Linked DNA regions of Drosophila melanogaster. The protein of the gene in region 2 purifies or fractionates together with the protein of the main gene of each other region. This does not show direct contact. Each region holds a gene or a part of one and is shown on either strand. Other genes may lie near its edges.

Region 1 (5,175 bases), on a different chromosome or scaffold from region 2:
GAATGTATAGCAATACGGCAAGGGAAGGGGGGGGGGGGTATAGACACTGCTTACACGACGAAATTGACATTTTGCATTTAGTTATTCAGTTGGGTCTATATTTTGATCTTTTTTTTCTACCATTTTGCTGCCGCCGCTGGCAGCCACAATAAAATGAGAAGAAAAATTGCATAATAACCCCTTTGAAATCGTCGGATTATCCTTAAATATTTGTGTAAACATTGTAACAAATGCGCAGCTCCATTGTCAGCCAACTCGGGCCATGGATGCAGCACAGAACCAACCTCCATCCTTCATCCTCCACCTCTGTTTCCATCTCCGCCTCTTTGAAAGCCATCCCCAATCCATTGACGTAGTCAAGGCGGCTTTTCCTCAACCCCTGTGCGTCGTCTGTCGTCAAATGCCTGAATGATGAGCAATAGACGGGTCCGGGTCTCCTGTCACAGTCGACAATGAGCAACTTTTTCCAAAGGCGGAAGACGTGGCAAGGATACAAACGGGCCGCGTAGCCAACAATGGGACCAAGTGCTCCGCCGAGGAGGGAAAGCGTCTTAAAAAACCTGTCACACATATTGACAGTCGCTTTAGGATCGCTTAAATCAAGTCTGGGGTCGGCGGGGGCATGAGCCGAGTCGTCGGGTTGGTTAGCATGTGCGTATCAGCATAAAGGATATTGTAATCATTACATGTAATTCACATTTGGGGGTGAAGGGCAATTGCCGCAACTGACATAATTTTGATGTGTATTGATATGAAGCGGATTGTCAGGCAGGATAATTAATTTTCCAGAGGATAAAGAAAAACTCAGGAAGGGACATGTAATATTTTGAGCCATAAGAGGCTAATAGCTGTCTGCTTGTACTGTCACTGGAGTTTTAAGATTATTAGACAAACTTTTACGAATCTTTAAAGACATAAAAATCTGGATACTAATGGCAGTTGTAAAGCGTGCCCAACAACTTTAGCTCTGTTTTTTATCCGCTATTCCAATGCTTCCATTTGCTCTCTGCGCTTTTTCTGTACCGCTCAGTGTCCTAATCGAATCATCTCATTTAAGTGAATTAAAAAACATATAAAGGCGAGCAAAATTAAATCACGCAACTATTTTGCGCAACAAAGAGTACAATTAAAAGCCCACCCGGCGGCAAAAAGGACGAAAAGGAGGCGCAGTGGTGTCTGGCGCAGAAAACGCCGCAAGTTTAATCGAATTTAACTACTCATAATGTGCAACAGACGTTGGCGGATGGGGCTGTTTCAGTGGGTGGTGGGGTGGTTTGAAAAACTCTCAGAAGTGTAGGCGTAAAGTTGGGCACTAATCTTATTAGGATCATCCCGGGCCAGCCACTCACGAATCCCAATTGGGAAGATGAACTGAAAAAGCCAGCTGATGTAGAGCTCTCTCACTCGCTCGGTCGTTCTCTCTCTCCCTCTTTCTCTCTAGCCGACTTTATTCGTACGTGAGCGTTTCAATTACCGCTCTGGAGTGCGAATGGGTTTTATTATTATTTACATACCTGTTGCAGCAGGGGCATTGTTTTGAATAAAAATTCCAATTTCCACACTTGTTCACGTTGCGCTCCTTGTTCGTTCGTGCTCGTTCGCGTTCGTTCGTGTTCGGCAGGAGCAGCATCCGCCAACTGACAAAGCGGCAAAACAGATGTCACCACTTCCGCCTCTCGTACCTTCCCTTTCCCACTCCCACTGCCGGCGGAGAGCCCGTTCGCGCACCGTCTCTCTCGCCCTCTCTCTTTCACTCCTGCGCAGGCCTTTCGGTTGGAGTTCGCTGCGGTTCGAGTCCAAGTTCGTGTTGGATCTGGTTGGAGTTTGAATTGGATGCCGAGCCTCGGGCAAGGAATCTGGTTTTTGTTGTTGTTTATTGGAGCTCCACAGGATAACGCGACTGAGCGAGCGAGAGGGGCGAAGGCGAACCAAGACAGCTGGCAGATGTGGCCGTATCAGCAGCAAATAGTCATCGATTCATTCCGCCTCGTCAACGATGCAAATTTCCAAAGGCCTGAAATATCATAAGCATGAATTAATTATAAGAGTACTCTTCTTTGTAGTTTCCAAATCAGTGGAGTTTAAAGAAAACACACGCGTACGCACTTGAGCGTTAAATGCCGTAAATCGATCAAGGCGTATCCCTCTCTCTCCTACTCTCTATGACACTGTCCCGGCTAACTGTAATTAACTGTAATCCAGGGTCGTTTACTTTAAAGGGGGCTTTTATGGCCGCCAATAACACAAACTATGCATTATCCTTTCGGGTGGTAATCCTTTCGGAAGCTGTGTGTTGAGCGAACCTATTATTAGAGCCATAAATCAGCATGAAATGAGCAGTGGCAGCGAAGTTGGAGTTGTAAAATGGAGATGGAGATGGGGCCAAGCCCTGTCTCGCCCTTTCTCTACTCTCTCCATCTCACTCTCGCGCTCTGTGCGTAGAATAATGGGTAGTAAGAATAAGTGTGCACACAGAAAGAAAAATTGCTATACTTTCATGAATTGCACTGTTATTCATATTTCTTTTCAATTGATACCGGACAATCCAAAAATCTATTATTGTGCACACCTTACATTTTATTAACGAATTAAGACCCCGCGCAATTCCAGCTTCATTTCCTCTGTGTGGCCAAGGCGGCGATTGATTGCCGTAGTTTTTGGAGAGATGACGTGAGCCAAAGGCAACAGAAAAAAAAACAGGACCAACGGCACATAATAGTAGTGTGTAGTTGTAAAGTTGTAAAATACGCACGTCGAGAATGAGAGAACGAAAAATGAGCCGCTGCCCTGTTTTTCTTCACCTTCTTGTTACCAACTAATTTGAACTGCACCATTTTTCGGTCAACAATTTCTAGTGCCGGCTAACACTGATACACCAATACATACCCAGGACTCGCAAAAACACGCGGATGGCGCATAAATTCGTGTGAATTTTATTTTAATTCCGCACTTGCAATCGCATCCCGTTTCTTTTGTCGTCCACCAAGCACATTTTTACACACACTCGCACACACGCCGCCAGGAACCGTTACTTCTGCTTTGCACGCCCTTCGCCGTTTTCCGTTTCTCCTTCCGATGCTGTTTCGCCAAACTACTCACTCACGGACGCATTTTTTACTATTAAACTATTTTGATTGTTGAAAATCTTTGCGACTGTGGTATGGCACCACATTAACTCGAATTTAAAATTGAGCCTTAAATTTGAGCGGACCCTGCCGCGGCAATACAAATTAATAGAACAAACTAAATTATCATCCCGTGATATCTTTTATTTTGGAATTTTAGTCGGGATTTTTTGATATTATGGCCACGCCACGGCGTGCAACGCTGCTTAAATAACCTTTTTCGCCTGGCTCTGTCGAACCAACCGCATGCAACCGCTCTCTTGAACTTAAAAGCGCTCATTTGTTTGAAACAACTTGTGTTCGACGATTCCTCGACAAAAAAAGAAACAGTCATTAAAATTCGCACAAATGGCTGAACTATTTAAATAATTTATTTAATTTGTATTTTCATTTAAAGTTTTGGTTTTAAAATAATTTTTATATTTCCATTAATTTTATTACTTATTGGTAAAGCATTAACAGCAACCAAATTTTTTTCACTGGCGTAAACAACTGTTTCCAGTGAATGGCAACAATACAGCTGTTTTGCACAGAGTTGCCACTATGTTCAAATGAGTTATTACCAGCGGCGGAAAACTTGTATCAAATTTATAACAAAAATACAATTCTGCGTTAATAAAAATGCCCGGGGACACGGAAAACACAAGCACTGACACCACCAATGAACACATCGACCTGGCCTTGTACCGGCAGCTGGTCAAACAATTCATAGACATGGTAAGACAAAAAAACCAAAAGCCGGCAAGCAGAGCCTGAGTGCAAATTCAATTGCATTTTTAGCGTCGCTACTCCACAGCGCTTTTTTGGGCAGAAAAGGTGGCCGTGCTTGGTGGCCTGGAACCCAGGGATATTTACTACCAGGCGCAGTGCATGTACCTACTGGGGGAATACCATCGTGCTGCTCACACAATACAGCATCACAAGCTAGAGAAGAATTCACTGCCATGTTTTAACCTACTACTGGAAAGTCTCTATGCGGCCAAGGAGTTTACCGAGGCGGCCAATGTCATCCAGAATGTGGAGGTGGAAGTCATGACCACATCGCTGATCAACCAGCCCGTTGATGCAAGCAGTGGCTGCTATCTGGAAAGCAACAGTGTCTTTGGTGGCGAGGAGAATCACAGAAATGAACTGCTCTCATCCATTTACCTAATGAAGGGCAAAGTTTATGAGGCCCTGGACAATCGCGGCATGGCAATGGACTTCTATGTTCAGGCCCTTCACAAATCCATATACTGCTTTGAGGCCCTGGAGGCGCTGGTTCAACACGAAATGCTGATGGCTTGGGAAGGTGAGCATGCACCTACTTTCTGAATACAGTATAATCTCAACTTAATCATTGCAGAGTTTGAGCTAATGCATCATTTACCGCTGGCACAACAATCCAGCGAAGCTGATGCCAAGTTTATACTAAAACTTTATGAATCTCGCCTGAAGAAGTACTACGAGTTGATTTCCGCACGCAATGCTGAGGAGATGTCCCCCATTGTTAATCCTGACATACTCCAGTTTATCAAGGAATTTACAGCTCGAGTGCAGCAGAGCGGGTCGTCAGACACACAAATGCCCAAGGTGAGCGCCGTCAAGGTGCCGCTTACGCCCAGCCAGTTCATGTCGCCCGCACAGAAGTCAGTTCTCCTGATATTTCTAATATTTAGCGCATTCTTATTGAAGTTGTATCTTTAAGAGTCCTGGAAGATCTAAAGGCGCCCACATTTTCCCTACAAACTAGTCTCTCAAAGGCTTCTTCCCTCATTGATGCTTCTCACCGGTCCATGTTTGACTCATCCAGTAGGAGGCGATCGCGTGATCATGACACGGACACATTAATTCCTATCGCTGAATGTCTTGATCGGGTACAACGTAGTACTGACCTAATGGCCGCTGAGGCGGAGAAGTGTTTCTACGACTGCGACTACAAACAGTGCCTGAAAATACTCAATGAGTAAGTGAAGAACGGCGTAAAAGACTTATATTGATCAAAAATGTATTTGGTTTTGCTTATCATATATAGACTCCTTAAGGTGGATCCCTTTCATAACACTGCACT
Region 2 (5,277 bases):
AAATCTAGCAGAAGGTCTCAAAATTATGCAGTCAGAAATCTTTAAATCTTATTTTAAAACATTTTTTAGTTGCATATTTTCTGCAGTTCATCGCATATTTATTGATATATACAAATTGTTAGAAGCATTAATTAGTGGAATTAAAAAGAACGTATAACAAAATTGCATCTTAAACTTTTGTTTTGAGTGTAAGTAGTTTTGTTTTTATTTACACAGCACAATTCGTTTATGACTACGCTTTTGTCTTCAAATTAGCGAAATTGGAATCAATTAAGTTAAGCTTTCAATTTGCGTGTCTGCGAAATAGGTAACAAAGGGTATTTAAAGTACGACTATTTGCTAAAGGAAATCAGCTTGCTTGTTTGAAGATAATTAGATGAGGTTACACAAACGCTCATACAGCTGTATATTTTATAATCATCTGTTTTTTATTTAGGTTCTAATACAGGTGGTTTCTCCAAGGAAAATGTTGTGAGAGGCTGTGTTCGTTTTTGTACAGATGTCCATTTCAAGTAACTAAATACAGACATAGGTACATAGGAATTAGCGTATTTTCGATTAACTTCGAGATTAACAGTTTCTCTTGAATGTAATTGTAATTTTGGTAGGGTTTATGCTAATGTTGTGCTCACAATCGTATTTTACATTTGTTTTATATTTTGTTTTTTTCCCCATTCGATTTGCATTCATATTTTGCATAGCAGAGTGTAATTAATGCCGTTGAATTGATTACCACTGCAACTGAAGGGTCTGAAGTGCCCAATCTAAACGAAAATGTGACCGAGCGAAGTAATTACCGGGCCCCATTACATAAAGCCAATGTGGGGATATGTACATACATATGTACATATATAAAGATCTGGCTGGACTCAATGTTTACTGCGCGCTGAATTGTATCGCACTAGATAGGTATATTTTTATCGACAACAAACAAAAGAGAAATGCTCTACGATTTTCAATACATTGCATAACCAGCTTTAGGGGAATTTCCTTGCAGCGCTTAGTGGTAAAATCACACTCACACGTTATATTGTGCATTCGAAACTTGTGGATTGTAGACATTGTGCAGTACTTCAATTTACAAGATCATCACAAATTATTTTTAGTTATTGCTTTGCAGCCTTCTTTCCCGCAGTTTTATCGAGCGTTGTGGAGCAAGCGTTGCTCTAATTTTTCCCCGACTGGCGCAGGGGTATAATTTCAACGGCGAGAGAGAGATAGAGAGAGAGAGAGGAAAAGAGAGATAGAGAGTGGGGGAACAACAAGAAAAAAAAAATAGAAAAATGAGAGACCCTGGTGCTCAAGACAACACAAAACAGCTGACCGACCGACAAACTGCGTATGAGTTTGTGTGCCTGAACTATTGGCATTTTCTCACTTCCTCTTAATTTTGTTGCTGTATTATTATTATTTTTTTTTATGTTCACCCATGCACTTCACTTGCCAAAATTTGAAGCATAACGCAACATAATCATATGAGGACACATAAACACAGTCAGCTGTTCGTAAGATGTTGGGACATTTTACCTCACAACAGCAAACAACAAATAAAAAAAAAAAAAACAATATTAGGCACATGATTCTCGTTCGTTTATCTGAGCACACACGAAAATTGAAATGACAAATACACTGCCATGCCGGAATGTCTGTCTATACAATACACATTTGAGTGTGTACAGTACACAATATAATTTTTTTTTTTTTTTTTTTGAATACTATTTTTTCCCTGTATGCATGCAAGTAGATACAATAAGCTTGCGACGAACACCGCGACAAAATGCCAAATGATGGTCTTCTGACGCGATAGTATTTGTCTGGCACAAGTTCGTTTTTTGGTTTGGTCGAAAATTATTTCATTTCATTCGTTCTTTGGCAGAAATGCAAAAGCAGCTGCAGTCGGTGGTCACTATGCTCTCAAACTTGCAACAATTGCTATCGAATCATCGATGTTGTTTCAGATGAATAAATAAATAAAAAAAAAACAAAAGCTTGCGCAAATGAAATCGCACACATGTACTATTATAAAATTCGTCTTTTGTTGTGCAACACAACTATAGAAGACTGTGCAGAAAGTACAGTGGAACCTGTCTAGCACGAACATTTTCAGAGGTGTCAAAGTTATATATAGTGGGATGAAATTTTCATAACACTGATAACATGAGGTATCGACATGTACTCTGAATTATTTATTGAACAGAATTGTGAAATGGTCAAGTTAAAGAATGCGTACTGTATTTGGAGCTTGCTAACGCAAATATCAGCTGCTAGCTATAGCTTTTAAGCACGAATTACGACAACAAATTGGGATATGCTAGATTAAGATAGATCGATTTGTATTTACATCAAACTTCTTAACAAATCAATATCCATATATAGTATTTAATAATCTGAGCTCAAGCCAACTAAAGTACCCTACTGTAAAAGCTTTGGGTATTCAAATCTTGTGCACCCTTCGGTTTGCTCTTTCATCTTTTGAGCTACGAAAGTTTGAATGCATAGGAAAGGGAGTTATAGTTCGTTCCCTGGAGTCGAGCTCTCTCTCTACCCAAATTTATTGAAGAACAGCTGTCCCTTTCGGCGCTGAAAAGCCCAGTGCTCTAGTGAGCGCCATAACTAACGACAACAAAACAAGAAGTATGAAAACAGCCGAGCGAAAGTGAGAGAAGCGATGCTCCATCTCCTTTTTTGTTTTCTTTTTTTTTCGTTTCTTTTTTTTTTTATATCACAATCATTGTTATTGTATTTTCTGTGGGGGCTAGATAGATGTATGTGTAGTGGGGGATAGTTCGCTGCTTTCTCAATTTTTGCACAGCACACACAAGTACACAAATATATTGCAATATTTTTTTCGAACAAAATAGATAAAAAATTGTAATTCAACATTTATTTGTTTTTTTTTTTTAACTACCGGTGCAGTTTGCTGATGGTTATTTCTTGTTTCCGATTTACTGTAGTTTTTGGTTGTTTCCTCCTGGTGGTCGTTGTATTAAACGAAGGATTTAGCGAGTTATGTATAAAATACCCCAGTTGTACCAACTAGTATGCTATTGTTTTACTTTTGCGTGGGTATATGTGCTCGGATGTCTATTTATTATTTTCTTGTTTAATGTGGTTTGGTTTTATTGGGATTTTGATGGTTTTTGGTTTTGTATTTCTTGTTGTATTCTATTTTCCTATTTTTTGTTGTTGTTGTGAAATGTCTCTGCCCGTTACTTAATTGTAGCACACGCCACTTAGCAAGGGCCGAGCGAAGCGTCCGTAGTTCTTGAAATCGGTTTAGTAACTGAGACTGAATTGACGCGCGAACGGGCCTCAGTGAACCAACAACAAACAAGTGCACACGCACACTTCGGCACCAGCACCCCCACCTTCACCACCGTGTTGGTCTTATTCGGCACTACGCACGAATCACTCACGAAGCTAAATGTTCTAAACTCGGTTCGGCTTCCCACTCTCTCTCTTCCTCTCTCTTTCCCTCTCCCTATCTCTCTCTCTCTGTCTGGTACTTGCACCCACGGTTGTCAATTTAGCTTTTTTCCCGTCTATGGTGGATTGCTTAAAATAAAATAAATATTTAAGCGGGCACCGGTAATTCTAACTGTCCAAGAGCCCAACACCAAACAGACGGAAATATAATTGAAAATATTAAACAAGAAATCATAGTTTTGTTGTTTTTAATCAATTTTTGTTTTGATAAATTGTTTTGACTTTTTTATAGACCAGTTTTTTAAATTTATATTTACTGCAAGGGTATATGAGATTCGACTGGCAAAAAAAAAAATTGTTCTTGAAAAAAATTGGCAGCACTGCTTGCACTCATCATATTTTTGTGTGGGTGCTTTTCCCTGGACAAAATTATATCCGAAAAGGTGGTAATATGACTAAAATTTGTTACCTTCAATTTAGCAACCGATGTAAATATATACATCCCATATTGGTTTGGGAAAAGTGTCGACATAAACATGATATACTTTAGTTAAAAGCAAGTTAGGATTGAAATATTTAAAATATCAGTTTAAAGCTTTTGAAAACTTTTACTTTCTTGCTTTGTTGTAGTTTTATTTTAGTCATTTTAAATATAGTTTATTTATAAATCATAGTCTAACTTAAATTTGCAATATCAATATGATATTCTGAAAAAGTTATGTTATATATTAATAGTAACTAAACCTCATAAGATCATCGTGTGAAATCATAATGCCTACTTTGTGGAAATCCTAGCTAAGTAAATATTAGTTATTTTGATAGTTCTCAATATGGATTTGCGATTGTTAAGGTATTTAAACTTCACCTTGCTTTTACATCGCTCGGATGCCCTGAATAATTTTGCGCGTGACTGGACGATTGGAGGAGTGTGTGGGCGTGTGTTGGTTGTGCTCGTAGTAAAATCGAGCCTAGAAGGGCTTGCGCAATGAGTGCATATCCTTCCGTGGCACAGTTTTAGTACAGCCCCCCCCCTCCTCCTCCTCTTCCACCACTCTGGCCGACAAAACGAGTCGCTCTCTTTGGGCTTTGGCTCGGACCCCTCCCCCCCTTTTCCCTTTTCCGAAAACTGGGACAAGAAATGAAAGTGCATGAGCACGTAACATATGCGTACATACACCCAGAGGTAATATGTATATGTACATTAGAGTGGACCTAGCTCGAACAAAAAGGTGAAAGGTCACACCTGTGTATGTACATATGTATGTGCATGTATATTCGTCGTGAATAGTAAGAAATATTGTGATACTCTTACTTTCCCTTTTTTCAAATATTTAAATCAAGAATGGTGAAAACCTTTTCAATGTTTGGTAGATAAAGAAGTACTAAATGAAATTGAAGGATTTTTATTTATTTCATCGCAAAACATTTGGGGTACACATTTATACATTTATTAATATATACGCTTAGATTTTGAACGAACATGCATACAAAAATATGGATTTCCTTTACATTTTCGATTTTTATCAGTTTTATAGGATTTCTTTTTTTTAAATTGGCTTTCCAGGAATACCTAATATGGTACAATAATTTATTTTTCTAGACTAAAAAAAAATATTAGTATAGGTATCACAAATATATATATTTATGTATATATCAATACATAATTTGTAGCGAAATTTAATGTTTCAAAAGGATTATTGATAAACTCGTTGAAAGGAAATTGATTTTGCTTTATTGACGGACTTGGATGGGTCTGTCTCTTAGGTTGAGCTGGAACTTTGTAGAAGAAATAACACCCTTCAATGGGAGGAACCAATGTTATACAAAGACATCGCTCACATTTAACTTAAG

The links.
Region 1: the proteins of Tob (region 2) and orb purify together in Drosophila melanogaster (affinity purification with western blotting, with the first as the bait; one study listed by BioGRID). This does not show direct contact.

The regions. Positions count from the first base shown.
Region 1 is NT_033777.3:23,277,545-23,282,719, forward strand, and holds the start of orb (oo18 RNA-binding protein), read right to left. Parts: upstream 3,313-5,175; 5' UTR 2,887-3,312; intron 2,015-2,886; 5' UTR 1,533-2,014; coding exon 1,515-1,532; intron 1-1,514. Other genes in the region: Cdc16 (cell division cycle 16), read left to right, coding at 3,747-3,842, 3,906-4,416, 4,471-4,753, 4,813-5,070, 5,140-5,175.
Region 2 is NC_004354.4:16,088,239-16,093,515, forward strand, and holds the start of Tob (transducer of ERBB2), read right to left. Parts: upstream 3,258-5,277; 5' UTR 2,909-3,257; intron 1,130-2,908; exon of another isoform or gene 1,023-1,129; intron 1-1,022.